2 linked regions of the Caenorhabditis elegans genome follow. The protein of the gene in region 2 purifies or fractionates together with the protein of the main gene of each other region. This does not show direct contact. Each region holds a gene or a part of one and is shown on either strand. Other genes may lie near its edges.

Evidence for each region. The genes of interacting proteins can lie anywhere in the genome.
Region 1: the proteins of F42A8.1 (region 2) and Y49G5A.1 fractionate together in Caenorhabditis elegans (co-fractionation; one large-scale study listed by BioGRID). This does not show direct contact.

Annotation. Positions count from the first base shown.
Region 1 is NC_003283.11:5,285,773-5,289,107, forward strand, and holds Y49G5A.1 (BPTI/Kunitz inhibitor domain-containing protein), read right to left. Parts: upstream 1,602-3,335; 5' UTR 1,589-1,601; coding exon 1,457-1,588; intron 1,141-1,456; coding exon 1,029-1,140; intron 983-1,028; coding exon 921-982; intron 878-920; coding exon 635-877; 3' UTR 571-634; downstream 1-570.
Region 2 is NC_003280.10:9,344,634-9,348,389, forward strand, and holds the start of F42A8.1 (uncharacterized protein), read right to left. Parts: upstream 1,958-3,756; 5' UTR 1,933-1,957; coding exon 1,835-1,932; intron 1,309-1,834; coding exon 1,118-1,308; intron 730-1,117; coding exon 638-729; intron 1-637.

The sequences.
Region 1 (3,335 bases), on a different chromosome or scaffold from region 2:
ACTATTTTTGCCAGAGTAACTATATTTAGTGAACGGCCAGAGTCACTAATTTTGGTGAACGGCCAGAGTCACTAATTTTGGTGAACGGCCAGAGTCTTAATTTTTAAAGTAATGCAAACGTAGTAAATCTCCCAATAAAAAAATGCGGTCATATTGCATGAAATTTAGTTTTTTTGATCAAACTGAAAGCTTCTGGCACCTGGAAATTTTTGTAATTAAATTCTGAAAGCGCTTAAAATTTGTCCCTTCTAGGACTTTTTACATAAAAAGCAGGATGGTTCTAGAATTTTCTAGAAACTCTGGAAAAGTTTTAGAATTTTCTTGAAATTCCGCAAAACTCCAGGAAAAGTGTTGACTGTACAAAAATCTTACATTAGCAGTTTAAAATTTATTAAAACAATTTACCGTACGCCAGTCGGAGCACGTGCAAACGGCTGGTTTTTTATAATATGCTTCTACATTAAATTTTTCATTTAAAACAGTGGGATATCATATACAAATCGATAGCTTTGTATATTTGCTGGAGTCCGAAAATCTAAAGATTTCAGACGAATTGTTTGGAAAAGGTTATATTAGTTATATTAATTCATTAATAAAAAAGTTTATATAGATAAACATGCACGGCCGAAAATAATTAATTGCAGCAAGTGGCAAAATATGTTCCCTCCACACAGGTTGCTCCAGCTGGACAGAACTTTGATTTGCAACTCTTCCCAACAATCGTTGTAGGGATTCCACCCTCGACAATTTTTGCAACTTTCTTTCCTTTTGGACATTTTGGCTCATAATCAGCTTCAATCAACTTTTCAATCTTCTTGTCACAGCAAATATTAATATGATTAGAGTACCTACAGATACCTTTTGGCCCACATTCTTCCTGGAATTTTTACAGATTTTTTCAAAAACATGGAGCAACTTACATCGGTTTGGCAGTTTTTATCGTTTATTGGCTTACTTCCAGCGGCACATCCCGATTGATCATCTAAATACTTTGGTTTAAAGTAAAAAATTCAAATGAAAAAACATACATCCAGTACATGTAAATCGACATTCACTCTCAGTTTTGAAATTATTCTTGTTTCCTCCACATCCACTGTACTCAAAAGCCAATGGGATATTGGATTTTTGGTCAAAGTGGTACTGTAAATTATTAAGACTTTATACTTTATGAATTTTATGAAATAAAAATATTGAGAAATATGTTTAGTTTCTGAAAATAATTTTGCTTTTGTTGAAAGTTTTGAAAAGTTGAAATTTTGAAAAGACTTACAGTCTCAGTGTTATTTCGGCACGTTGACTTTTGAGTCAGTTTTTGAGCAAATTCTCGGAATTTTCAATTAAACGTATAGCTATTTTCAGAAAGTACCAATGTTTTTCTATATTTTTTTCCAATTTCCAAAAATTCCAAAGTTTCCAAAAAAAAGCGACATGAAAGCTTTGAAAAATCAAAACTCACTCTTATCTCCTTCTTTCCATTTTTACATGGTGTTTTTCCCATGTCCAATGGAAGTTTGCACTCCGGTTGAAGTGTCGAGACTAACTCACTGACACACAGAATAGTAGCCAAAAAGGTAAGAAGAAGATTCATTTTGCAAAATTGACAGAATAATTGAAATGATCACCGTTTTATACTACTGGAGAAATGGATAAACACGTTGAGAGATAAAGAAATCGAATGACTATACTCAACACTTCCTGGTTTAGATAAGAAGAAGGTCAAACTGGATAATGTTTGGTTGAAGTTCTAGTATAGATTCGTTTAGAAAAATCCGTAAATCTCTTTCAATTGTCGAATGCTAGCTGACAAAACACCCAGAAATCTTCCAATCTGAAATTCTACCTAAAAGTCCAATAAAACAATTATTAATATGGTTGTGTGGCCAAACCATCTAAAAAACTGTTCAGCAAATTTTATAAACGCTCTTGGTATCACCGTGAATGATTCTTTGAATCACTTCCTGGTCACAGAGATTACCAATACGGAGATCATAAATGCCATTTGAAAAAAAGAAATTTTAAAATAGGCTACTACAAAAAATTGACAAGTATTGTGATCAGGATAAAATTCTATCTGATTATTTTTCCAGTGCAAATTGCTTCAAATCAACGATGCTCGAGCTCGACAAATTTCGAAATTTGCAGCACACCAAAAATTTGACAAAACAATTTTGCCCAAAACTATTGAATTTGTCCCCTAAAATTTAGTAAAATTCCACAAAATGGAGTTAATTTGATGTTTAAGCTGACACAGCTCACGAAACTTATTCAGAAATCAGATGTGTGATATCTTTGGTGCTCCAAAATACATCTAAAATATAACATTTTTCCGGAGTCTGTTGAAAACGGCAAATTTGCCGAGTTTGCCGAGCGCGGCAAATTTTGAGATTTGCCGCACATCCCTGCTCCAAATGTGGAAGCCTTTAAAAGTGATCATATTTTTTTCAGAAAGAAAAGTTTCTTGAAAACTCCTATAGTTGTTCACATGTTTTACAAAACATCTGAAAGTCAAGATTATATATGAAAAACTACTCTAACGCAATTTTTCTTTCTGCCACCTATTCACTTTTTCCAAAAAGTTGGGAAATCTCTTGGACATAATTTTCTAATTTCTTAACCCAACTCAAAAGCCTTATTTGAGAATAGACCTCGAGTAACCTAAATTCTCCGGTCCACGTGCTTGTTTATTCCGTTCATGCGAAGTTTGTTCCTAAAATTTTTTTAATATATCCTCTGTAATCCCCCAGCTAAACTCACAAATTTCCGATTCCTTATTTGCTTTTCATGTCACTTCGACGTCTACTTTTTTCGTTGCAGTTGCTTTTCTCTGAAATTCTCCGCAAAAAATAACAAAATTTTGTTACTTGTTACTTTGTTCGCCGTTGATTGAATATGTGCTATGGCAACTCTTTCTGAGTTGTTGGGTTCAAGTTTTGGTAATTGTATGTTTTCAAAAAAAAACTGAAAAGTAAGGTTTTGATTTAGAACGTCAGAATAGAAAACCAAAACCCAAAAAATAAAATAGAAAACAAAAAAAAACGAATCATTATAGTCAAGTCTCTATTGCGAAAAGCAGCTACTATTAGCCTATGGGGTCAATTTGATTATCTGCCTTTGCCTAGTCGGTGTTTTCCCAGCGCAGAATCCACTTTGCTCTGCCTGTGCTCCAAAAGAGTGCTCATTTTCAAAAGACACACATACACTCTTCTCATTTTCTCGTTTTTTTGCTTCTTGTTTCTCATCGTCCGGTTCTTTTTTTTTCCACTTATCATCTACACTTCCTTGATACCATGGCTTATTTAGTGAAGATGGCTTATTTAGTGAAGAATTCATGACAT
Region 2 (3,756 bases):
TGTCTTCTTTTCATTTAATGATCAAAGGATCAGAAACATTATCAGGCCGGTTATCTGTCCTATGCCTATAGCACCTATGGGATGTGGGATCTCTAGAAAACAAGCTTATACTTACTTTAGGTATCACTGTGGGCAAGCACATCGGCGATCAGAGTACCTGTTTGTGTGCCTACCTTAAGCCTACTTGTTTTTATTGGAAACTATTGGTTTGTGCTTCCTAAGTAGATTAACAATATTTTAATTTTGTGAGCACGAAAGCATGAGTCTTGCATCGAACACGCTCTCAATTTAAATTTAATAAATCACACTTTCAAAGTTCATCTCTAATTATTGTGCCACATTTTCAGCGATTTTTCTCGGCATTGTCAAACTATGCCTTCCACTTTTTGAATTTGTAGGTCAAAAAGTTTTCGTTTGGAATCAAATTAGTGAAGTTTCGAAAGTAAAATTGGGTCAGTTCAAAAACTATGTTATAGCTTTCGTTGAAACTTTGATCAACGTTTTTTTTTAGTGGCAACTAAAAAGTTAATAGAAAAATTGCAGAACCCCCTACTGTGTGTGTCCGCCCACCGGATGTGATACATGTTGCAACTTTCTTCACATGTTTTAATATCTTTCACTTTCCTCTCATTCTTACCTTGGCATCGGTCCAAGTCTCTCCTTTTTGATAGGTACGTCCATCTGTGCCGACACATGCGCTGTAGCCGAATTCGATATAACCGTCGCTTCCTGATAAAGAGTAATCGTAAAAAAGGAGATTTGATACGTTTTCTACAAAATCAGATGTGGGTACTCAATGATATGGGGAAAAAGAAGATCAAATCGACAAAAGATGTTGAATGAGAGACATTAGAAATGGTTTTTTTTTTGAATGGACACGATTTTGAGAATACCTACTTTTAAAATATTTTAACAATTTGAAAGTTAGTTATTCTTAACACTGTCGTGAACTCGAAGACTCCAAAAGTTACGGAAACAGTACTAGGTATTCTGAGTAGTAGGTATTAAGAATTTGAACTAGCTAATAAAAAGTTGAATTTAATTCCAACTGAAAATTTATAGTATTCTCAGAAGCCTAGTTGCCCAGATCAGTATAATTTCCATGCTCGAAACTAACCAAGTTGGCAAATGAACTCATATCTATCTTGTTGGAAAGTATGTCCAAGTGGAATCTTTTCCTCTGTGCTTGACAGACATCCAAGTGGCTCCAACTGTCCACGTCTACACTCATAAAAGTATTTTCCACGTGTCACTTGGTCTCCTTCCTGCCACCATTGAGCTGGCCGTCCGTTCCCGCTTGTCCAACATCTGCAAAAGGAGTTTTTTTTTTGAAAACCGGTTCTTATCAATTGGTTTCAGTTTCGTTGAGAACCATAGATACTAGTAGCTAGTTGTCTTGTTCAATGAGATGAACTTGACAAGATGATAAGGAATACAAGGGGAACGGTGAGACATTTAGGTTGTGGATTTTGAAATTTTTGATTTTTTGTTGTTATGTATAGTATGTATACAATGTATACGTTAGAAAAAATGATTCCTCATATCTAATCTCAGAAGTTTGGCTCTGAAATTGAACCACCATGATACTAGAGGTTTAATGTTTTATACGTGCCTCCAGAAAAATTTTTATAATTAATGCCAAATAAAAAATAGGCATAGGCAGGCACGTAGGCAAAAAAAGGCATATTTAGAAGCCATGGAAGCCATATGACTTTCAAAAACAAATTTTTTGAGAATAAAAAAATTTGCTACGAAAATCGTAAGGTTTGAGACTAATAAGGATTAATTTTTCGAAAATTTTGGATACACTGAACCTTTAAAAAATAAAACAAACCTAGCTCTAGCTGCAGCTCCTTTTTCGACATTTGAATAGGCCGAAACCTCGAAAATTGAAAGAATCGAGAGGATAAGTAGAACCAAGTTGTTCTGCATTTTCATCAAAATTTCTTTTGTCTCTAATTCCCCCGCTTTCGGTGATTTTTATAGTAGCTCCTAGGCTCCTCCCACTTCCTCCCCCACATCTTCTTTCTCTTTTTCACTTTTTTCATCTTTTCTCTCCCCTTTTCCGTCCGAAAATGGACAATTGTTCTTCAAGTGGGCGGAGCTCTAGGAACACCTTTTCGCTCTTGAATGTTTGTTTTAAGATGAAGAAAAAGCGGAAAAGAATTGGGATATACATCATAGTTACGCCGGTTTTGTTATTCAAATATCTCATAAATTACAAGTTTTCTGGAGGAAAGAACACCATAAATGACCATTTCAGTGAAAGTGCGTGTAGGAGGGGAAACTACCGGAAATTGAGCTAAAAATATACAGTGTATTGGTCTATGAGTTTTCAAGCTGTCAGATGGTGCAAAATAGATTTATAGATTTTCCAAATAGTTCAAAACAATTCGGTAAACATTCTAAGCTGAGGGAGCCCAAAAATTATGGATGATGCCTTTCAAAGTTATCAATTCGTACTAGAGCTACTCACTTATTCAAAACATCACTCTATAAAACTGGATGGGCAAATGAAAACTTATAGTTAGGACCTGCCTGCCACCTCTGAATTACGGTATGATACAGCTTTTCTACTGTGAAGAATTAAATTTAAGCGCACTTCAAATTGAACGTACTTTTGAGAAAACGGAAATTTCCGAGATTCCATCTATTCCAAAAAGAAATTAGTTGCCAAAATTGAGCAACTGGGAGTAACGGCATATCATTTTCTATCACAATATCACATTCGACTCGTTTGAGCTCTGGAAAATATGATAATCTAACTTTTTGGATATGACGTCACAATCAGTCCTGTAAGAAATTTCACGTTTTCCAGTGGAAGGATCACTCCGAACACGCGCCTCGTATCTCAATCTGAATGTGGCTTACTGCTGTAGTATGGGATTTCCAAAATAATCCATCTTTGAAAATGTGTGTGTTTTTTTAATTTGTATATATTCTCTGCCTTCTTCATCAAAAACTCACCTCGATTTTCACATATGAGTTCTCAATTATTCATCCAAAAATTCCTAGACACTTATTTCATCCAAACGCATATTTGAAACCGTTTCTCCTCCGGTCGAAATGCTAATTGCCGCCCACCTACATATACCGTGACAACATTTTGTTGTGTAGGTGTCAGTAGTTCACTGACGAGATGAAATTCAATTCAGAAAAAAACGTTCTCTGAGACACACTGACGTCTTCTTATTTGCAGGAAATGATTGCTGACACTTTAAAAAATAAATAGGACAACATTAGAAAATAAACAATCAGGTTGATTTATTTACAATAAATAAAACAGTGTAATCAACTTGTCATTTATCAATGGACAGGAGAGTCTGATGAAAAGGTTTCCGGAGAGATCGGAAGTGAGATGGGGAAATTGGAAAAAGGAAAGAGTTGAAATCTCATTGACTACTCGACTTCATTTTTGTTCATGAGAAATCCGTTAAAATTATAGAGAAAGAAGTGAGACAATATGTTGACGTACAAAAATGGTTATATTCATTTGCAATATCTTCTAAAACTCGCAAAATTGCGTATCTTCAAACTGACGTATCTCGAAAACTATAGTTCTAGAAAACAAATGTTCAACAAACAAAACTATTAGAAATATTTTTTCTTCCCTTTGCATCAATTTTCATTACAAAGTAGCAAGGATTTATTGAGTTACACTGATTCAAAGATAGTTTCCTAAAATCTACCAAAATTTTTGAGAACTGTTCTGTTGTACCAGTCTTAACTCAACATCCATTGAGTTTCAGAATTAAA